Drosophila melanogaster: one gene and its partners. The protein of the gene in region 1 interacts with the protein of each later gene in a pairwise test. Each region holds a gene or a part of one and is shown in the gene's direction. Other genes may lie near its edges.

Evidence for each region.
Region 2: the proteins of GstE1 (region 1) and FER interact in a two-hybrid assay, tested with the Drosophila melanogaster proteins (one large-scale study listed by BioGRID).
Region 3: the proteins of GstE1 (region 1) and CG17486 interact in a two-hybrid assay, tested with the Drosophila melanogaster proteins (one large-scale study listed by BioGRID).
Region 4: the proteins of GstE1 (region 1) and Fpps interact in a two-hybrid assay, tested with the Drosophila melanogaster proteins (one large-scale study listed by BioGRID).

Annotation. Positions count from the first base shown.
Region 1 is NT_033778.4:18,395,620-18,400,510, forward strand, and holds GstE1 (glutathione S transferase E1), read left to right. Parts: upstream 1-2,773; 5' UTR 2,774-2,812; coding exon 2,813-3,487; 3' UTR 3,488-3,604; downstream 3,605-4,891. Other genes in the region: GstE10 (glutathione S transferase E10), read right to left, coding at 1,124-1,846; GstE2 (glutathione S transferase E2), read left to right, coding at 3,905-4,570.
Region 2 is NT_033777.3:9,390,948-9,397,731, reverse strand, and holds the start of FER (FER tyrosine kinase), read left to right. Parts: upstream 1-3,185; 5' UTR 3,186-3,491; exon of another isoform or gene 3,492-3,842; intron 3,843-4,759; 5' UTR 4,760-4,795; coding exon 4,796-4,991; intron 4,992-6,658; coding exon 6,659-6,784.
Region 3 is NT_033778.4:4,616,355-4,622,444, forward strand, and holds CG17486 (uncharacterized protein), read left to right. Parts: upstream 1-2,675; 5' UTR 2,676-2,711; coding exon 2,712-4,406; 3' UTR 4,407-4,479; downstream 4,480-6,090.
Region 4 is NT_033778.4:11,303,685-11,309,694, reverse strand, and holds Fpps (farnesyl pyrophosphate synthase), read left to right. Parts: upstream 1-2,166; 5' UTR 2,167-2,252; coding exon 2,253-2,434; intron 2,435-2,735; coding exon 2,736-2,830; intron 2,831-2,903; coding exon 2,904-3,115; intron 3,116-3,174; coding exon 3,175-3,536; intron 3,537-3,596; coding exon 3,597-3,823; intron 3,824-3,883; coding exon 3,884-4,065; 3' UTR 4,066-4,184; downstream 4,185-6,010. Other genes in the region: CG7745 (uncharacterized protein), read right to left, coding at 170-1,539, 1,598-1,748; CG7741 (uncharacterized protein), read right to left, coding at 4,203-4,344, 4,400-4,557, 4,616-4,944, 5,003-5,111, 5,170-5,487, 5,544-5,875, 5,933-6,010.

The DNA of each region.
Region 1 (4,891 bases):
AGGGGTGGCATGCTGACTGGTTGGGCCAAAGTAAAAGTTGAAATTAAACCAATTAGTTTGCCTGCCACCACTTTCTCGTCGCCGTTGCAATGAGGCGCATAAAACGCGGCGACACAAGGTAAGTTCCTGAGATGCCCACAAAGTAGTCACGAGTTTCTAAAAACGTTAAAGCTTATGATTTTTTTTCTTTTCTTTGGGGCTTAAATAGGAAGGGAATGCTTTAAAAAAATTTGTGTTTTAAGGCCAACAAAGGTTTATAAGTAGGGAAGAAATTGAAAATAAGTAAGAAACAAATGGAAAATTCATGTACTTTTTATAGATTTCCATACATCTGCAAAATAAAAACAAAAAGTTTTGGAATTTTTGCTTCATAAGAAATATCTTCGGATTGCGTGACTCCAATTTCCGCTCACGTTAGCATCTCCTGCAGGACTTCCGTGGGGCTTGGAAACGGACTTCACCCAGCAGGTATTTAGACTTGGCTCCTTTTTTAAGAGTATTTTAAACGACGGCGCGTCCTTTTTGTGGACTTGGAGCAAGCGAAGGGCGGGGAGTTCGAGACCCGAGCGCAGATAAGAGGCAAATTTGGAAGTGGCATAAAACGGGGGCGAGTTGGGTTTGCTGCGGAGCTGGGCTGGCTAGCTGCTTGGGCGGATGGCGCCGTCATAAATTAATTATGATTTAACAACTTTAGCATGCACGACACGGCAGGAAAACTTTGCGCTTTTCATTTACCCCGCCCTCTTCTATTTTGTGTCGCTTTTGTGGAGGGTAAAATTTTATAATTTTAATGAGCGCAAAAAAGTTGTAAACTTTTGGCTGCGTTGCCATTGGAAATGCACTCCACGCTAGATAGTAATTTATATACAACATAAAAAAAATGTTCGCCATCAAGGACATTTACCGGCCAAGAGCACTTAGATGGCTACAAAGTCTTCAGTTAACTCAGAACAGTATATAGTGAGCCTATACACTGGGAAAAAAAGAAGATTATTCAAACATAATATACATTTTAAATCATTTTGCCAGCAGCGTAAGTTTTAATACATCATATTAAATACCATTTAACATACAATTTTACTTTGGGCAATGCTCTCTTTTCGATGCGACAATGGCTTCCGCATCACTGTTTTCCAGCTCCGCTCTTGATGTCCTCAAAGGCCTTTTGCCACAGCTTGTCAAACTGCTTGGGCAGCTTGGAGCGAATCTTATCGGCCAACAAGCGGGCTCCTCTCAAGTTGTCCTCCTCATAGAAGGGCAATGCGGAGATACGTGCCAACCAGGCGGATAATTTGGGGTATTTGGTCGCATCCACGGGACAGTAGCTCAGGTGCAGAGTGCTCACGGTGGCCACAATGCTAAAATCGGCGATGGTCAGCTGAGGACCGGCCACATAGGGATTCTCCGCCAGAAATTGCTCCAGCAAGGCGTAGGCATCCTTCAACTCAGCCAAACGATCCTTGGGCACCTCAGTGGCATTCTCTTTGAACAGAGCTCTCTGCAATTGCTTGAAGATGCCGTGAAAAAGGACACCGGTCTCGAAATGCAGCCGCTGATCCACCACAGCTCGCTTCAGCGGATCCTTTGGATAGAGCTCATCCGACTGGGCGTACTTGTTCACCAGATAGCCGATGATGGCGTGTGAGTCCCAAATGCATGACTCACCATCCTCCAGCATGGGTACCGTGTGCTGGGGATTCTTGCGTAACATATCCGGCTTCAGATGATCGCCGGCCTGCATGTCCAGCGTATGGAATTCATGGTCCAGCTGGAGGGCACGAAGGGTCAACAAAACGGCACGGACCGGCGGACTGGACTCAGTGCCATATAGAATCAGGTTAGCCATTGTGGTTGCTTAACTAATTGCCTTCTAGCTGGTTGAATTGAGATTCGTAGCAGACAGTGTGCCATCCACAACTGACTCAAGGCAGTCTAAATAATTTAAATTTCTTTCAAACGCGATAAGATTAGATATTAAACTTAGTTTCTTGATAATTACCACAAAGACGTCATAATGCTGCAAGTTTAAGTTTGCCTGATTGTTTATTAATGTCCGGGATAAGTCGGTCTGCTATCTATTAGCTGTGTCAATATTTGATCAATGTCCCCGTGATTTATTTGATCATAGTTGGAGCACCAAAGGGGCTACTTATATACACTGCTAGAAACGTCCAAACGAAACCTAAAGTAACCAGACTCATTAGCAGTGTTTCTATGCAAACATTTTCATATAAATATAATTATAAAATTATGAGTTTAATATTATTACTTCTGTGTATCAGATCATACAATTTTATCCAAAATAACGATAAGCTTTATGCCAGCTTAACTTAAGCTTTAAGCTTTTAGAAACTTTCAAGCTTCGTTAGGAAGACTTGAATTGTAAATTTACATGGGTTCTACATGATTCAAATAGATGTATATTACAATAAATCATAAAACAAGTAACTGTATTAAATTAATTTCTTCTGACAACCAATGTTCCTGAGTTCACAGAGACCTACTTTGTTTTTGATGAGTATATGTTTTTTGTAGTTCACCACTGCATATGGTGTTTTAAAATTAGTATCATATAGATGATTCCAGAACTATCAGTTGGGGGTAATTAATGTTTGTTATGATGAAATAGGCATACATATTATATATATGGTTTTTTTTTAACTGTTTAACACATGGTTTCGAGCTTTTATCTTAGATTTACGAAATGCTCTCTCATTTAGCAAAAAGCTTGAGGCAATAAGGTGTGTATATATGTACAGTAAATAGAGAGATCAGTCGAAAGAAAAACACTGACGGGTAAACAACACGTATCATGTCGAGCTCTGGAATTGTACTCTATGGGACAGATCTCAGTCCCTGTGTGAGGACCGTCAAACTTACCCTAAAGGTCCTGAATCTGGACTACGAGTACAAGGAGGTGAATCTTCAGGCGGGCGAGCACCTGAGCGAGGAATATGTGAAGAAGAATCCCCAACACACGGTACCGATGCTCGATGATAATGGCACTTTCATCTGGGACTCCCATGCCATTGCCGCCTACTTGGTGGACAAGTATGCCAAGTCGGATGAGCTGTATCCCAAGGATCTGGCCAAGCGTGCGATCGTCAATCAGCGTCTCTTCTTCGATGCCAGTGTAATCTATGCCAGTATAGCCAATGTCAGCCGCCCGTTTTGGATAAACGGTGTTACCGAAGTGCCCCAGGAAAAACTGGACGCCGTACACCAGGGTCTGAAGCTGCTGGAGACGTTCCTGGGCAACAGCCCCTACCTGGCCGGCGATTCGCTAACCCTAGCCGATCTGTCCACCGGACCCACTGTAAGCGCCGTGCCCGCTGCCGTGGACATAGATCCTGCTACATATCCCAAGGTCACCGCCTGGTTGGATCGCCTCAATAAGCTGCCCTACTACAAGGAGATCAACGAAGCTCCGGCCCAGAGCTACGTCGCCTTCCTGCGCAGCAAGTGGACCAAGCTGGGCGACAAGTGAAACTAAACTTATATTTAAATATGACATTTCACAAGTTTGAATTCCATCAATTAACAACATACACATCCATTTCTAAAACGTAAACTTCTTCAATAAAATATAACATATATATAAAATATTTAATTTATTTTTTTATTTAATTTATATTTATTTAAATATTTGAATTTATAATAAATACTGAAATTTATAAACTTTAATATGGGACTTGAGTCAGTAATTATTATCTCACAGTTGGGGAACCCGACCGTAATATTTTTATCGCTCATTTATGATATCGTCAGTGTACAATTACAAAAGTTTATTTAAGATACAAATGGGGCAAGCTCAGCGCACCCAATTGGGTTGTTTAGTTAAGCTCGTTTAGATTTCTGTGTGTGGCAAATTTAGTGGAACTTGGGTCTCTCTGGTGATCGCATCATGTCGGATAAATTGGTTTTGTATGGCATGGATATTAGTCCTCCTGTTCGCGCTTGCAAGCTGACCTTGCGGGCCTTAAACTTGGACTACGAATACAAGGAAATGGATCTACTGGCAGGAGATCACTTTAAGGATGCGTTCCTCAAAAAGAACCCGCAGCACACCGTACCACTCCTCGAAGATAATGGTGCCCTTATCTGGGATTCACATGCTATTGTCTGCTACCTGGTGGACAAGTATGCCAATTCGGATGAGCTATATCCCAGGGATCTGGTGTTGCGCGCCCAGGTGGATCAGCGTTTGTTCTTTGATGCCAGCATTCTGTTTATGTCGCTGCGAAATGTCAGTATACCCTATTTTCTTCGCCAAGTAAGCCTGGTACCCAAGGAGAAGGTGGACAACATTAAAGATGCATATGGCCATTTGGAGAACTTTCTAGGGGATAATCCCTATTTGACCGGGTCGCAACTGACCATAGCTGATTTATGCTGCGGAGCTACTGCATCCTCGCTGGCCGCTGTTCTTGATCTGGATGAGTTAAAGTATCCAAAGGTGGCTGCTTGGTTCGAACGACTCTCTAAGTTGCCCCACTATGAGGAAGACAATCTGCGGGGCTTGAAGAAGTATATCAATTTATTGAAACCCGTATTAAATCTGGAGCAATAGTAATTTGTATTAAAAAAAAAATACCATCAAATGCCATAAATACCATAAAAACAAATCAAATCGAATAGTACTACAACTGATTTGTAACAAAAACCTATCATTTTTAGAATCATAATAAAACTATCATTACGTACTGAATCCTAAAGAGAGAAATAATAAAAGAGAAATATATAGATGGAAAAACTTAAATGATCAGTTTTTTGCTTATAGATAGTTAATTTCCAAAAATTGCTGTTTCACTGTTTAATATAATCAACTGGCTTATCGGTTAAATTATGACAATGGTCTTTAAATCCCAAAACGATGAGTAAACAAATAGAA
Region 2 (6,784 bases), on another chromosome or scaffold:
AAGTCAGATATGTATGTTCAGCTTTCTAGAGATCTGTGAGTCTGGGAATTCCTTGTGGTTTCACACCTTTGCTGGCTTAAACGTCTCTCGTTAAAACTTTAACGTGAAAATGACAAGAATAGAACCTACCGTTTAAGGTAGCAAGATTTCCCAACCCCCTAGTTTTAATAGTTTTATCAAGAGGGTCTCAAATTTAATTAGCTTTCGGTTATTAAGACCTGGGCAGCCAGTTTGTGTGCCCATTCCCGCACTTGTCCATAAAAATATGTACGCATAATAATGCCGTTTGACTGGGAGAAGTAACCGCTTTGGTCCGCGAGCTTGCACTTAATAATTTCCATAAATGAGTTGCCCAGTTTTCTTGGGCGCGTTTACCGTTCCATTGTTGCTGCACTTGTCTTTATTGTTTGCTGCTTTTGTTGTGCACATAAATGAAATTCTTGCACACAGCAACAAATTGGCATGGGAGTCGTCCGCTCAATAGCTTCTATCCGACTTCTGACTGGAATGCTAAGCAGCCGGGCTGCAGCAAAGGAGCTGTCTTGGCTTTTGACATTGGAGCAACCTTCTAACTGAAAGGTGTTACGTCTGGAAAGCAAATAGTTGACATGAAACTGGGGATAACACTTCATAGGGTACTTTACATAGCCAACGGATGCTGATCCTCATAGAGATTCAATGGACAAAGCATCCTCAGATACTTAATGCATCTGAAAGATACCAGATACATTTGTATATCTTGCTCAATGTATCTTAATGGTTTTGTTTTGATCTGGTTACTTCTTCCAGCCCATCAAGCATTTACATACATTTGTCACTGTATTGCACAATTTGCAGCCCGGTCATCTATTGTTCATCAAGTTCCCATTGCCGAATAATTCCGGGCCAACCAGCTATATAAACCGAACATAGATATATGTGCATGTACATATATCCATGAGTTCAGACCCATGTTGAACTTCTCTCATCAATTTTACTGTCTTACACTGCACAAGTCATTTATTCATTAGTTTCAATTGGCCGCCAACTGTTGCCACCCATTTTCTTCTGTTCTTCGAACCGAACAGCTGAAACTGAATGCCCCATATTATAAACGCCAAGAATTGCACTTGCAAACGCAACGCGAACATTAATGGGACATCCGAAGAGATTTATATTTATGTGAGGCAACTATGCGTCACAATAGACCCAGTCTGCTTAAATTAGAATCAGATATTTAGGCCGCCTCACTACTTATAGCAGTGCTCGGTATTCGACTTGTACTAGGGAAACTACGACGAGTAAATAAAGGAATTAAATCCTGTGCAGTCACCAGGACACCGGAAGGTGCCTGGTGTCGCTATCGCCGTCTCACTAAATACTTTATGAGGCCGAGGCGCCTTTGTAAATCTTCCCTTTTTTTTTCTTTTTGCCGTCTGGCTCCAACCAAAATAAACACAGCAATCCGGGACCCGGGACACGGATCCGTTGCATAGACAACGGCAAACACCCTAAAACCCATAAGAAAACACACACAACGGGGAGATGAATGACTGGCTGCCTGGCTGGCGGAACAAAAAGAGCAAGCAGGGCATCTCTGAAATGGGCAACAGGCTGGCCAAGAGACGCACTGAATGGCTGGGTGCAAAGTGGTCTGGCCAAGAGAGGTGGCGAAGGTGGCACGCCATTTGCCCGGCAATCAAATCAATGGGCAGGGGTTTTGTCCTCCAGCATGGTAGCATTAATCGGCATAAAGTACAATATCTCACACCCTTTCGAGTGCCGATGCGATTTCAATATCCATTATTCAGCCGCAGGTGGGGGCGGTGGTGGTGGATTATAGAGTGGATTGGTGGCACTCAAAAAAATATATTTAAAATTAGATTTAAAGAAAACTATAACTATTCTTTCCTAGATTCAATAATAATATATATTCAGCATTACCAAGTACCTTCTAGGATATACCTTCTGGATATATCTGTATTAGTACTAATTAAGTCTCTTGAGTTTATAATAGTATCATTGCATATGGAATTATTTAAATATTTCGTTGGTCTTAAAAAGGGATTGTACCTCTTATTCTACTCTTAAAAGTAAGTCTCATCGCAGTGTAGAACTTTGGCAAACACTGTTTGCATTATGCGCAGAACAGGACTCATCTCTGACCACAAGGACAACAAAGAGCCAGGAGCCGGTGAAGCGACAGGAGCGTCAGAGTTGCTGCGCTTTTCACTTTCCCATTTATTAATGAATTTATTGGCCCGCCTGCTTTTGATGCGCAAATGCATTTTCGCATTTATCCCTGAAACTGACGTTCGACGAAAGCAAGGGGGTGTAAATTAAATGGAGATACCGATGGCTTCCAATTGCGGGGGTGATTGGCCCAGGACGAACAAAGGGTAGATCCACGCATAACATTTATCATAGCTTTTGTTTTGGTTACAGCTCAGCTGCTTCCGTTTCCACAGCGACTCACAGTGGGTGGGTGTTTGACTGGTTGGGTGTTCGTCCTTAGATCCTGTCAGCTGTCCCACGAAAGAGCCGAACCTGCGTAATTAATAGTGCGGAAATTTGGTAATTCTCCGATTACAGCAGTCATTGCTATCTGCCAACGAACAATTATGGGCTGGGTTGGGGAAAAATGTACAGGAAGGAGTATAGAAAAAGTGACCTTTTTTGCTTGAAATGATTGCAATTTTATAGAAAGGTTGTAATTATAAGACAAAAATTATTGATATTTAAGATAGCGAAGTGTTCCTAATTAAGATTCTAAGACATCAAAAAGTTATAGTTATGAAACATTTCATAGGAACACCTAAAAATCAGTACTGTACTATAGTTTTGATACAAATAAGTTTAAATGTTCTTTTGGATGTTCGTGGATCTTCTTTTCTAAAAAAAAAGAAACACAAATATCAGCCTTAAAGGAGAATTTTCTTATATGAAATATATACTTATACCATAAATAATGGGAACGACAGAACGCAAAAGTAAGCAAACATAACTAATCCCGTTGGTGAAACCCACTATTAAGCCTCTTCTGCCTTATGGTGACTTTTATTGTTTGAAAATGTTTGCTGGGTGTTCTGCAACCGGTTTTTCTCACTGTGCTCTCTCTCTCTCTGTTTCTTTCGCCGCACTCGCATTGCTCATTCGCCGCATCGGCCCGAGTGTTTCGAGTATCTCGAGTGTTTTCAGTGCCGGCGCTCAGTTTCCGCTGAACATTCGAGGCGAACGGTTCGCTGTGTTTGGGCCTGCTTTCAATATTCCCCGATTTCCGGACTCGATTCGATCCAATCCGAGCCAAACCAATTCGAGATACTCGGCGCTGAGCTCCATTCGCGATTTTTGAGTTCTGTGGCCATGTGAAGTGCACGCATCTCGAAGTGCCAAAATAAGTTCTGATAAAGCCTTCAAAACGATAACCAGCCTTATTCAATTATGTTTGTGCCAAGAACTGTGCTCTAGTTACGCGATTTGCAAGTGAAATCCGACGGCAAAGAAATTCTGCGGTAAATGTGGTTCCCCTAAAATAGCAAGAAGTGTAGATCGCTTGTAAACATTGTTATTTACATTTTTAATTTATATAACGGTTAAGCATCTTCTTATTGCTGCCGCTGCTACTGTTGTTACTGTTGTTGTTGTTGTTCTGGTTCTGGTGGCTGGGGATGCTCCCCTAGCTGCTGGCTGTCTAACCCGTTTATATCTTTTACTCGACTTGGCAAACTGCACACGCACATACAGACAATGCATCAAGTTGCTGTTCTGGCGCATCCAGCAAATGCACAGCGAAAAAATAGCATGTGATCGATCGTATAAATCAATGTTTATAAATTAATGAGTAAATATACGAAATTCAACACGCAATTTCAATTCTGTGACAATATTTACAAGTGACAACTGATACGATTAGATATCGAACTGCTATTTTTCCTTGTGTATCTTTAAGATACACGTTCTTGCCGCACACACCTTCTGTCGCTTGTGTTTCCTTATTGACTTCGCCCCTGCCCCATGGCTCCTACCCCTCCCCCTACCTCATTCCTCTTCCTTGGGGCAATGTTTATTTTTGTTTGCTCGCCCAGCAAGCGGGAAAAACAAGTTTTTCTCTTTGAAACCAAAACAACAACCACAGCAGCAGCAGCAACTGCGACGCAACTCTTGGCTCGCTTTGCTTTTGGAAAATACTTGGGGAAAAGTTCAAGTGAAGACAACTGTTGCATTCAAAATACCAAAAAAAAAACCAAAAGCACTACAAAATAAATATATACATTCATGTGGAAGTGTCGGTTATGGGTGAGAGCGGAAAATGCGTTAATTAGCGGATAAAAATGCATATGCCAGTGACTCGAATTAAGTCGTTAATCAAACGCCGGGACGAGATCGTGTGTAATTAGCAAATGTCGTGACATATGCAAAAGTAAAAAGTGCCAAAAAAAAAAACACCAAAGAAATGTCAACGCATGTGAAAGTTTATTTTTTGTAAAAAGAAAAACAAAAGTGCTCGTGTGACATAAATAATTAATTTTTAGTGAGGCGATAAAGAAGCAACGCCAGCGAATAACCAAATTGTCATGCAACAAGTGTTTGCCACATGTTCGCTGTGTTTTTTCCTGTGTTTCATGTAGAATTTCCAGCATTCCGCTCTCCCCAGAACAATATCAAAAAACGAAAACATAACCCACGATAAAAACCGCTGTTCTGTTCTGTTCTGTTCTGAATCACTTGCCTATATATAATATCCATTATATGTTATGTTACATATGTGCATATCTCACAGAGAGCCGCGACCCAAATAGGGAGTAACGAGAGCATCATGGGCTTCTCATCAGCCCTCCAAAGTCGCGCCGCCCACGAGGCGCTGATCGTCCGCCAGGATGCCGAACTCCGGCTAATGGAGACAATGAAGCGATCCATCCAGATGAAGGCCAAGTGCGACAAGGAGTACGCCATCAGCCTGACCGCTGTGGCCCAGCAGGGTCTCAAGATCGATCGGGCTGACGAAATGCAAGGTAAGACTACAGGTGCGATAAGATTGTATAGCCAATTATTTGGTCAGTGATACCACCAGTACGTGAAGTACGTTGTCCTCGTGTTACTATTTATTTAGTTCGCTATCTATGAGTTTGCAGAATCGGTTATTAAAGAGTATAAATTAAAACGTAATTTTAGTTTATTTAATCCGGCCCAAAGACCTTAACAATTAGTGCAGTATTATATGCTTGCATTCATATGTTAAAGATAAGTTAAGTTTAAATTGAATTTGGGTGGTGGAGTTTATACAAAACATATGTTCAACATAGTAAAGACAACAATTTATAGCTAAATGGACCGAGTTTCACGATGAGATGCTCGAACCCCATTGACCTCTTGGGCATTACTCACAACATTCACTGGGTGGCCACTGGCCAGTATCATCCATTAGTCAGGGTAAAAGTGCGGCAGTTATATGGCAAGTGTCGATAAGCTGGTGGATGTTATTGTTAATGGCCCCTATATGAGATGGGATGGCATGAAAGCATATCTTGTTCTAAGGGTTGGGAGAGTGAAATACTGTACTGCCCTTCCTGCACTCCATTTGGTGTGATTTTTGGCAGCCTGCTGGGTTTGAGAAACTGGCCACTGGCTATCTCGCGTGACTTGATCGCATTTCCAAGTAAATGAGACGCGTTGGGCTCTACATATTTCAAACGACTCGAGATAATCGCCAGACAAGCAAATCGCTTTCAACTACCGTGCTCTGGGTGGCATAGTCATTTCATCCGGATGCAGCCGGGCAGCCAGGACTCTGGACTAAATTGGCCTGCACACTCGCTGCTTTGCCGTTCTGCGGAGCTCATCAAAGTGTCGACAAAGTGCAGCTGTCTTTTGCTTCTAGCTGCTTCTGCTCCCCTAGAAGATAAACACATGAAAATTGCTATAATTTGCAGGCGATGTCAGTGCTTTTCGCTTGGGAAATGTTTTCCCTGCTGTTTACATGGCCAAACAAACGTATCCGCTGGATGATGCGAATGTACACGCACACCAACCAGTGCACAAAAGCGTAGCCGAATGATTTAGTTCGGGCCATTTGATATAGCCCAACTATATATACAATATACATATATATGTACTTCTCCGACTGTTTATCTGCTTCGCTTCTCACCTTGACCATGAACTTAAATCGCTCGATTTGAGTGCAGTTTACTGTCTAAACTTCAGACTTTGCAGCCTAGCGAAGCGCAAACATTTTAACCAAAAACGAAAAACAAAAAAACCAGAGGAACAGACGTGGGTATTATGTTTCCGATTTGCTCAGCAAATAATTTTCCAAAAATCTGTGCAAGGTATTTGCGTCACTTTTGCATAACGCTGGCTTAAGAAAAATGATTCATTGCACTTTTACCCAACTGTTCAGCGGATAAACTCCAAATGAGTCATATGTCTGGGTAAACTGTGGATTAGTTGCGGTTTACGGGTTTTAAGACTGTGTCTAATGAAGATAGAGACCGTCTTATGACAATTTTCATAATAGCAAATGTAACAGGCAGTTATCACGTAAATGTGGTTGGGAAAATATCATCATTATCATCATATACTGCAGATTACTATCCTAAAACCATAAGTTCAGTTTATATAAAAAATGTCATGTAATCACATGAGTGTTACTAATGCGTGTTAGCCTTCTATCCCTTTGCAGGCAGCCTGATCTCCAAATCCTGGCGATCCTACATGGATGAACTGGACCACCAGGCCAAACAGTTCAAGTTCAACGCGGAGCAGCTGGAGGTCGTCTGCGATAAGTTGACCCACCTCTCGCAGGACA
Region 3 (6,090 bases), about 14 Mb from region 1:
TTAAGCACGAGTACACAGTTACTCGTTTATTGTATAAACACGCTCATTCTATAGATTCTATATAAAGATTATTACGTTCTCAATTTACCGCGATTGGAGTGAGAACAATATTGGGCGACACTACTAATAAAGTGGCTACATAGTGCAAAACCAAAGACACTAGAATATTCTAGTGTCTTTGGCAAAACCAATGTATGGCCGTTACGCATTAGAGGGCTGCATAACACCATTCAAACCATTCAATATAACAGTCGTGCTGAAATGAACTAAGTGAATTCGGCTCGTTTCGCAAGTGATCGTGCATTTAAACGCGCTCGTTGCCGACATCAATTCATTCAATTTGATCGGCACATTCTGAAACGAATGAAGTGAAGTCCGAGTAAAGTAATTGGGTGTTTCGAATGTCTTGTCTGCGTATGTGCACATTCGCACCTACCAAAGACTCTAGAATAACAAGATACGTAACGGCCATACATTGGTTTGGCACTAGGCAGCCACTTTTTTGGTGACGGCCAAAATTACTCTCTTTCCGCTCGCTTACGATGAGAGCGTAAGAAATCTAAAAATAGAATTTGCTTGCTGGTGTGAGTAAAAACAAGAGACGAGAACGCGTATATGTGTGCATGTTGTGTTAGAAGACGATTTTCGGGCCGAAATCAATTCTGATCGAAGAAACGAATTTACACATTTGTGGAGTTTTGGCCAATTTCGTAGCAATATGATGAAATTGAGAGCTTTTTAAAAATATCAAATTGGAATAAAAAAAATGAAACTGAAAAACAACTAAATCTAATGTGAATTTTAAATAATAAAAATTGATCATTTACATACATCATATTAGGTCAAATGACTAAATAAATATACGAAATAATTAAAGCAAATACAAAGGAAATTATTATAACTACTGTAAGTTAAAACATAAATTATCCAACAAGACATTACATTTAGAAATAAATATTTCATAACAGTAGTAAAATAAATCTAATACTCTAATGACAACTAATCTAATATAGTCATTTTTAAAATTTATTTTTTTTATTTTTTTTACGTTAAGGCAATGCAAAACAAGAATTTTTCGCATAGTGCCAATTGATCAAAAATAATATAGATATAAAGTCCAAGAACTTCTAAGGTGAAGGGCATATTTTGTCAAATTTACAATGCATGAGCATAAGTGTGCACACATGCAGTTGTCTGCTATTACTGTATGCGTAGAAAAGAGCTCTCGCTCGTGTGCCAAAAAATCGTATGGCGTTACGCATCTTGTTATTCTAGTGTCTTTGCACATACTATGTGCGTGTTAGTTTCAATAAAAGACAGTTATAGTATGCTTAGTTCGTGTTTTTATATTATTATTCATTATTAATTAAATGATAATACATTATATTCTTATTTTATAAATATACTAATTTTTAATTTTCAATATTATTATTAAGAAACATTATTTTATTAATATTTTCTCAATTTAGAGAGATGGCAGAACGTTTGTATTTTATTAAATATCGAGCGTCTGAAAATGCTCTTTCAGAGGCAGCGCTTGTTGGTGGTATGCAAAAAATTTTGCAACTGGCTTTATATAAGTTTGGGAACATATTTTTATAATCGTTCCACCAAGCCTCGATAAACAATGCGTCGCCTGATGTTAGATATACAAACGATTCTATTATTTTTTTTTTACTATACCATTTAAAATATTCAAAATTGACAACACAATTTGGTAAGATCGCTAAATAATCTATATAAGACAAATGCTACAATATTATTATATTGTTATAATAACCATAAACATAAAAAAAACCAACTTTGACTTCATCCGCGCTATCCGAACTCATTTTACCCAATGACAACATTAGGAATTCAGAGTACTCTGAATTACCATTGAAAAATCATTCGTTTCATTCATTCTTTGAAGACATTCAGTTAGTTCATTTCGATTGGACTCCTTAAAGTCCGAATACATACGAAGTGAACGCAAAGAGAACGCGACCAACTGAATGCCATGTATTCTGAATAGGCAGTAAAACGAATGGATACTCTAATTGCAAACAAAGAGAATGGTGTTATGCCCTATTACGCATCTTGTTATTCTAATGTCTTTAGGCGTAAATATGTATGTAAATCGAAAGTTCATTCCAATCTCAACATATCTGTAAAAGGGTATACTAGATTCGCTGATCACACTTTGATAAATTTGTTGATATTGTTAAATTTTTGTTAGCATTGTATATTTTTATCGATTTGCTAAAAAAAAAATTTGCCACACCCACTATACCGCCTTAAACCGCCCAATACTGCCATGTCCACATTTTTTGAAAAATTGTTGGATATTTTTTCATAATTTTATTGGTTTTGTATATTTCTATCGATTTGCCAAAAGATTTGCAAATTAAAGACCTAAAACCGCGCAAAACTGTCACGTCCACATTTTTGAATAGTTTTTAAATTTTTTCTCATTTTATTCCCTAACAAGCGATAGATATCCCAGAATAGTTCGGATAGTCGAAGAATTCGAATATAGCATTCTCTCTTGTTCTTGATTTCGTCACTAATTATTAAGGTCCCATGTTTTATATTCCACTATTCCTCAAATGCCGCAATCTTGCTGACGCTATCTTGACACACACTTTAATTGTTTATGGTTAAAGATAGATTTATACCTGATAGATCTACCAATATATTTCTTTGATAACTTTTCTATACAAACGTCAATAATGTGTGGAATATTTTGTTCAGTCGTGAACAATGTTCCTTTAAACTCCTTTAATATTTCTAGCGCTCTGAAAGTAATTCTGAAAAACCGCGGTCCTGATGTGCAAGACGAGGTGGTTATAGATTATTGTTTTGGAAAAATTTTATTTGCTGGCTTCGTGTTATGGCAACAAGGGGAAAGTGTACAAAAGCAACCTGTGGTGGAGGACGATTTTATATTTCTTTTCAATGGAGACATTTACAATACTTCAAAGCCTGAATATATGTCTGACACGACTTGGATAGCGGAAAGGCTAGCTGAATGCCGTTGTAAAGAACAGAATATTTTGAAGATACTTAAGCGATTGGAGGGACCACATTGTTTAATAATTTATGACAAACGAGAACAAATCCTTTACTTTAGTCGCGACGCACTTGGAAGAAATTCACTATTAATTGAACGCATTTGTAATGGCTTCCAATTATTGAGCACATCACATTTTGAAGATAAAAAAATATCACTGGAATTGCCCCCATTGGGTCTTTTTCGAGTTAAACTAAATGATCTGAATTCGTGCGTATTGTATCCATGGCAGCCCCTCAATAATTATTCGACTCAGCTTTTACGCAACCTTGATCTTGCGATTGGGTGGAAAACTGCAGTAGAGAGTCCAATGTCGCCAGATTGGATGTTAAATTGCAACCCCGCATTTAGTTATAACTTCTATGAATTTCAATACATCAAGAATAACGTGAACCTTTATAAAAACTTAATAGATCAGTCAGAAATTAAGTATACTCTATCTATTCTCCATACACTGCTATCCGATTCGATAAAAAATCGTGTTAGAAACATGGCTCCATTTTGCAGACTCTGCATGCAAAAATTAAATATATCGCCTCCATGCAGACACGCAAAATTGTGTATTCTATTTTCGGGTGGCCTTGACTGTACAATTTTGGCCTTGCTGGCCAACCAATTTGTACCAGTAAATGAACCCATCGAACTTATTAATGTTGCTTTCGAAAGCGTTAAGGGCCAAAATATATCGGAAAAGCTTTTTGATGTACCAGATAGAAAAACGTCATTAGTATCTGTCAATGAACTAAAACAGCTTTGTCCGGAGAGGTGCTGGAATCTACTGAAAGTGAATGTAACTCGACTTGAATTGCAGCAGCACCTAACATCACGTATAAAGCATCTTATATATCCGCTAGATACGGTATTAGATGAGAGTCTTGGATGTGCCTTCTGGTTTGCTTCGCATTGCACTCACTCTACTGCTAGAGTCGCTCTTATCGGAAGCGGGGCAGATGAACTATTTGGTGGGTATACCCGCTATCGCAACAGTTATAGCCGTTGTCTGGGAAACGATCTGGAGCGCCAACTTGCTGTGCAAAACGAACTTGAAAGGGACTGGCAACGTATTTCGGCCCGTAATTTAGCCAGAGATGACCGCATTATTGCAGATACTGGTAAAACAGCAAGATCCCCATTCATCGAAGAGAACTTTGTAAAATTTATAAGATCGTTAGAAGTGTATCAAAAATGTTGCTTTGGTTTCCCGGAAGGAGTCGGCGATAAATTACTTCTGAGACTGTATGGCTATCAAATCGGTTTGCGAGATGTTGTGTTCTTAAAGAAAAGGGCTATTCAATTTGGGTCCCGAATTGCAAACAAAAAACAAAATGGCTCTCATCAATCTGATAATCTTTAACTTAAGCTTGTAAAATATTCGTGTATGTTATGGTATCTTATCAATAAATAAAAAGTTTAACTGATTTCACAATAATTTACGACGATTCCAGCCTGATCGTAATTTTTTTATCGCACACTTTGGAGGCACAGTTATGCTCGTTATCTACTTATGTAAATAAGCTGGGAAGTTGCGGGAGCCTCTAAGCTCCTCTTTCTCTCTGTTTCTCTGCAATGAAGTCTCTTGTCGTTCACTTTTGTAACATATGCATACGCGTAGCTATGCTCAATTATATCTGTAGCCAACAGAAAATAGACTTCGATCATTCTAAAATCGTCGTGGTATTTAAAATAGCAAATTGATAAGCTTGGGTGATTTCTGCATAAACAATTCTCAGTGCAAATCATACACATTTATTTAAAAATTTATTAAATCACTTTAGCTACAGAGAGCGTTTTCAGGACTACAAAATTTTGACAATTTTTAAACAAGGTGCAATGAAAATTGCAAATTACGTTTGTTTACCATACAAGATTGCAAATATAGTTGTATTTGAGCGCGGATATAGGTGAGTAACGGACTGTTGCCCCTAATTTGCGCCAGTTTGCTGTAAGTTCCATCTTACTCTTGACATATTGACATTGTTAAAATGCAAGGCGACTGTAATATATAATAGCGGACGATTACGTTCTTCATGTTCTGATCGTTGATCTTCAAGAAACATTTAGATTAAAAATTCGCAACAAGGTCGAAAACTAGATTTAGAACATTTTTAAGAGCTTTAAAAAATCATTCCGTTGATATCGCATTACAACTCTCTCTTGGGCAACTTAATCTGGTCATATTTAACAAGAAGTTTTCCAAAGTCCACCTTTTTAGTTCTTCCTTCCCCACCTTCTCCGTTGAAATTTGTGCCATTATCTGAGAATATTTTCTTCGGTGTTGCTCGTCGAGACATTAAGTTAGTAAGACACATCGCACAAGAGCTGGTATCCAAGCTGTAGTATATTTCTAATTGAACGTTTTTCCCACGGTCACGAGGATATATCCAAAAAATCTACCCCGGTGTAGGTAAATGGCTTCATGGCGACCCTGGCAGGTGGCAATGGTGACATTTTGGCGGAATTGTTTTTACATCTCTGACAACATTTTCGGACCGATTTATATACGGTATCTCGTTGAGCTTCTCTGAACTGTATACCCTTAGCGTACTTAATTTGTTCAAAGGTTACAGTCTTCACAATTTTTTCAAGTTTGCATCTAGTTCGAAGGGTGGCTGGCTACGTATAGGAGAAACGTAGCGGTGGCTCTATATAAAAAAAACCCTCGTCGTTTACTTGGATCGCTTGTATGTTTGATATCTTTACCACCAAGTTCGTTTTTCGAATCTCGTTTCGCTCGCTATCCGAAACGGTGCGTCCAGTGTGCTTGTCTGGTTATCGAAGAAACAGCGGACCATTAATACATTAGGCGACGCTTAGGGTTTAGAAATGAACTTTGTTGCCAAGTCTGCTACGTTTAGCTTCGTCGGAACCCAGCGCCATTGATTAGCGCTCGTGGTCTCCATAATTTCTCAAGCTCGGTACATTAGAAAGGACTAAAAGTTTTGCGGGTCCATTGCAGCCAGAAGAGTACTTTCCTTGTGTAATGTTTGATATTTAGGAGATATTAGTATTTTGCTAAAGTACACTTTAAATAACAAGAG
Region 4 (6,010 bases), 7.1 Mb from region 1:
ACTAGCACATTTGAAAAGTGTTCGGTAGAACGTAGAGCTTTGCAAATGACTCATTGGTGGGAAATTTGACCAAAGCGATGCAATTACTATTATCTGACAACCGTCTAACGAATAACATAAGTTAAGGATAATAGATTACATTATTTACAAATACCTAGTAGCTAGCCCTTTAATCGTCGAAGAATAGTATTTCTAGGATCCGTTTCTGTGCACTTTTCTTCCGTTCCTTGTTCATTTTCAGCAGTTCCGTGGTGACTAATTCTCCCAGCAAATGCTCAGACAACCGCTGCACACCCGGATGATTGGGCGGCGCCTGGAATTTCCCGAAGTTTGCGGGATGCGAACTGCTGGCCTGATGTGGGAACTGCTGGTATAACTGGAAAAGGAAGTCCGTGTTTGACGGAAACATGTTCTGGTGCTGTTGCTGCTGCTGGTTGTTGTGGCTATTATTGCCGCTGGGATTGTTGCTCCCGCTATTGCTGCTACTGTTATTCCCATTTCCATTGCCCCGCTGCATGGGCATCGAATTGCTGTAGTGATTCTCCTGCTGCATCATAGCCTGCGGCTCCATCAGATCATGGCTGTTCTCATCGGATTCGTCGTCCGAGTCATTGCCAAAGTGACTACCATTGCTGGTCATCTGGTTATGGGCATTGCCATTTAGTTGAATACGGGGTTTCTTCATATGGAAATGGCTCGATGACGAAGAGTCTAGACCATCGCCCTTGGGGTTATAGACATGTGACTGTTGCATCTGCAGAGTGGAACTGTTGCCGATGGAAGCGCCCGTGGCGCTGGAAGAGGAATGTACCACCGGAAGCTGCTGTTCAGATGCCGGCGACTGTTGCTGCGCTTGTTGCTGCTGCTGCTGCTGTTGTTGTTGCGTCTGCTGCTGAGGATGATGGGATCCTGCCCCAATTCCTTGCAGCGGCGACGACAGCGGTGATTTCATCGAGGATGATGTTGAGGTCAGACTGCCAGCGCTGTTCTGGGCCCCGTTCATGCCCACGGAGCCATCCTTGTATTGATCCTGATAACCTTGCGAGGAATCAGCCATTACAGCTGCAACGGCCGCCGCCTGTTGCTGCATTTGTGACTGTGATATGTGCTGGAGCTGCTGTGAGGCCACGGCAGCCGCAAAATCCCTGAACACCTGGTCCGCCTCGATCTTCACCTGGCCATTGACGTTTTCCAGCGCAGATGCAGCAACGTTACTCAGAGCACTCATTGCGTGTTGCTGATCCGGCTGGTGGTAAAGATGACTTTGCCCTGAGCTGCCAAACTGAGACACATTCTTCATGGAGCCATTGGACTTATCAACCTGGTATTCGTTGTAGCCGGAGCTGTTGGCGGACTGTGGAGATGTTAGGAAGTTCGGCACATGGCGGTAGGACTTGCGCGGCTGGATGTGCTGGTCCAAGAACTTCATTTTCTCCAGGTATGGACGCGACAGGTGTTCGTAGACAGGTGGATCGCCCTGCTTCCGCTGCGACACGTAGCGTTCGCGTAGGTACTTCCACCGCTTCTTGCACGTGTCCACTGGAAAGGAGGGCAACATTTATATAGAGGATCTGCCGGAGGAGCGCGTCTTCCTCACCATCCGTGCGCAGCTTCATCGCAATCAGCTGCCAGGCCTCGTCCTTCGTCTCGTACTTGCCACCATTGGCGCCGCCGTTGAGGTAGTACTTCTGCCGGTTGTAGATCACTCCGTGCTGCGCTACCTCGTCAATTAGCTGCTCATCCATCATTTTAGTTTAATTCGTGTTTTCAGCTGCCAATTTGCCTTTGGTGTATGTCAGGCCATTTCCAACACTGTTCATGGGACATCGAAACAGTGTGACCGAAAATGTAGCAGCAGAGTGTCAAATATAATTTGAAGATATTGATATCGAAATATATTCGACAATTTGCATCATGTTTAAATTCGTCAGCATTTTGATTTATATATAGTAATGCATTTAATTAATTAACACGCAATAAAATTAATAATTTCAGCAAAAGTAAATCATTTGCTGTTCCTGAATTTACTAAATAAAAATGTTTAAAAATTTAACTTATAAGTTACCTTCACAAAATTCTCGAAAAATAAAAGTCAGCTATAAAATAGTTGCTATAAACGTATTATGGTTATTTGAAATTTTAAGGTGGGTTCTTTTGCGAACCGAGATTCAGTCACACTGGCAATTTGGTACCCGAAGTTGAATTGCCGTTTTGTGAAGCGGATAGTTACCTGCCGATAATCTTAAATAAAAATGTTTAAACTGGCCCGTATGCTCCTGCCGCAGCAGCGGATCCTGGCCAGCCCGCTGCGCCTGCAACGCCTGATCTCTACCAGCGACGAGGTCAACGCAGAGCCCATCATCAAGTCCATGGACACCATTGGCGGCCTCCCCACCGAACTGGTCAACGAACAGAAGCTGAAGAAGACTAGCAGGTAATCAATCTACCGGTTTTCGCACTTGACCTTTGCCTTGCCTGTTTGTTTTGTTTACATTTCGACCGGTATGGGCATGGGCATGGTATGCATGTATCGGAGGCCTGTTTTGGGCGTGATTTTCGAAAAGGAGTTTCGGGGTCTTTTTTTCTTGATTTCAAGTGGGGGAGAAAGTTTGTATCGAGCCGCTTATGCAGTCACGTAGACCATAGATGCGTGCATGTGTGTGTGTATGTATTTGTGCCTGCCTGGTGGTGTCAGTTATGGGCTCTATTGTTCTTGACTTTTGTTTTGTCCACAGAACCTTATCGACGCTCCAAAATCACTCGGTTCCCATTGCCGCTCGCGTCACGGTGTCGAAAGATGAGAGTCGCGACTTTATGGCCGTGTTCCCAGGTGAGATTTGTTTATTTATGCCCAGTAACAATTATCATGCAAATACTAATGCTAATTATATTTCGATGTGCAGATCTTGTGCGTGACATCACCACCGTGACGAAGGCATACAATTGCAGCGACGCAGCCAAATGGTTCGCCCAAGTCCTCCAGTACAATGTGCCCAGGGGCAAGAAGAACCGCGGCATCCTCACCGTGCTCACGTATAAGAATCTAGTGCCCACCCAGGATCTTACGCCGGAGAACATAAAGCTCGCCCAGTATCTGGGCTGGTGTGTGGAAATGGTAGGAGTTTTATGCATTAAATAGTTTTCCTAATACAAAGTTATCGATCATCTTTTCAGCTCCAAAGTTTTTTCATCATCTCAGACGATGTGATGGACAACAGCACCACCAGACGCGGCCAACCCTGCTGGCACAAGGTGGAGAACGTGGGCCTGACTGCCATTAACGATGCTCTTATGATTGAAAACGCCATGTATGCCATTCTCAAGAAGCACTTCAGCCACTTGGACTGCTATGTCGCCCTAATGGAGCTCTTCCACGAAATCACATACATCACTACCTGCGGACAATCGTTGGACCAACTGAACTCGAACCGCTGTGTCTCGGAATTCACAATGGAAAACTACAAAGCAATTGTCGAAAATAAGACTGCCTATTACTCCTTCTACCTTCCATTCGCACTTGCTTTGCACTTGGCTGGGTAAGTAATGGCCATACATATATAAGATTCCGCTTATTAATCTTCCGCTCTATTGTTTAGCTATAAAGACGCAGAGGCCTTCCGTCAATCGAAGACCATTCTCCTAGAAATGGGCAACTTTTTCCAGGTTCAAGATGATTTCCTCGACTGCTTCGGTAATCCGGAAGTGACTGGTAAAATTGGAACCGACATTCAGGACAACAAGTGCTCGTGGCTGGCAGTGGTGGCAATGCAGCGAGCCAATGTCGAGCAAAAGCAAATCATGGTCGATTGCTATGGCAAAGAAGGTAAAACTAGCTTAGCAAACCCGCACAATTAGACATTGACTTTTGAATATTAACCTGCAGAACCAGCTAAAGTGGAGCGAGTGAAAGAACTGTACAAGGAACTTGGACTGCCATCCACCTATGCCATTTTCGAGGAGGAATCCTACAACATGATTAAAACGCACATACAACAAACCTCACGCGGGGTGCCTCACCAGACCTTCCTGCAAATACTCAACAAAATCTACCAACGTGACTCCTAAATTACTCAAGCGCAACGACTTTACGGATACGTTTTTAATTAAATTGTAGTTTTAGCATTTACATGGATGAACTGTTAGCAAGGGCTCAGCAATTACAACCGATATGAACTTTTTACTATACATACAATGTTCTTTGCTTAATCGTCTGTAAAATCAAAGGGCGCAAAAGCCTTTCGGAAATCTTCCACATACGCCACTTCTTCGTCCTTATCGAGAAGGCAATCCTTCCAGTTCACTTTTTCATCGCAGTTAAGAAGATTCTCCGAACAGAACACGTCCCTGAAAAAATGAGTTTAGTCAAGAGTTGGTAGCTTAAATCGAGAAGTTAACGCACCTTGCGAAATGAATGGGAAAGTGTTTCATTTGCCGCGTTATAAGTGTGCTATCGTCGGGTAACTCGGCCAGGAAATAAGGTCCCATTTCAGGCAGCATTTTCTCAGAATCCAATGCGGGAAGTGTCTCAAATTCCAGATTAAATTCCTCCGCCTTATCCTGCAATGTTGTGGGATATACATCATATGTTATAAAAGGTTGAATGTCGTGAGCATACCTCAAAACTATGTTTTATCTTCCAGGCATAGCCTTCTTCAAAGGCAAGCGCGTTGATTTGTAGGTGAACCGATTTATAGTGCCGTTCAGTAAAACACACCACTTGGCCTAACGTTTTGAAGAACTTTCGCAAAGCTGCCTTGAACTTGTTGAGCTCCTTCCAATCATCTGGACTTAGTTGAGCAGCGCAGGGCACATGCTTGGTGGACAATATCATGACATGGTGTTTGTTAATCGGTCCTTTGGCCAGAGCAAGATAAAAATGTTCGCCCACAGTGATAATGAGATGCTTCTCCACATCAGGTGAGGATAAACAGAACCAGCATTTATCTACAAATATAGGAATAGTATTAAGGATGCAGCTTGTAAAATTAAGTACTAGACAAACCTTGCTCAATCTGCGGTATTCTAGGACGTTTATCTCTTTTGTTATTATCACCGCCTTGTCGCTTGCGTCTGCCACCATCCATGTCGTAGAAGTATTGTCGGTTTTCTGACTGAAAGAATATATAATTAGTCACTTGGAGTACTTATAGATATGTAAAGGTTACCCACCGAATCATTCTTGCCAATAGCTCCGCCTAAGTCCAAGCCAATGAAAGGACACGGAATTTCATTTGTTGTCTTCTGCGCTAGGTCCAATAAGCGTGATTTGTCTACTGGCTTCAGGCTGAGTGCATAGATGTACTTGGCTTTTTCGGCATTTCCCACTTCCGCAAGGGAAATGAAGCGAGTGCACAGTTCAAACTGGGTAGTCTCATCTTTGGGCATCCGAAAGGGTGCGCTTTCGTAGTGTGTTCCATTAATGGCACAAAAGTGATAGCGCGGCTTTATTTCACGACAAAGAAATGATACCAACTTGGATGCTGTGGCCTGAGAAGAGGAATTAGTTAGTTTCACAGTAACAAGTGCTCTAGATGTATATTTACGTTTTCCTTCTCCTGCATACCAAAGGGCCATTGCGATGTTAGGAGCACATCCACACCGCGGTACTCTGTGGAGCAGTTCTTGGACACCAAACATGAGTTCCTCACAGCGATGACATCGGCTTTGGTGAACTCGTGTTCCGAGCCAGCGGAATCTGCAGTGCCCTGTGCCTCCAAACCACTTAGATAGGCAATTTTAACACCACTGCTCAGCGTGTAGACCCCACGTCGACCAAGATACGTAAGATTGGTGCAGATTTCACCGTCCGTCAGATTTTCAAAGTATTTTTCATGCTCCCTTTGGTTGGGTCCCAGGATATAGGTGGGAACAGTGACTAAGTACAGGGAAAGGGTTAAGAGAATAATAAATGCTTATATTACACTTAACTTACTATGCTTAAAACCATTTTTGTAGGCAATCAGTTCCTCGTTTTGCTTGTCCTCCCCGAAGAAGTCACCGACGCAGCAAA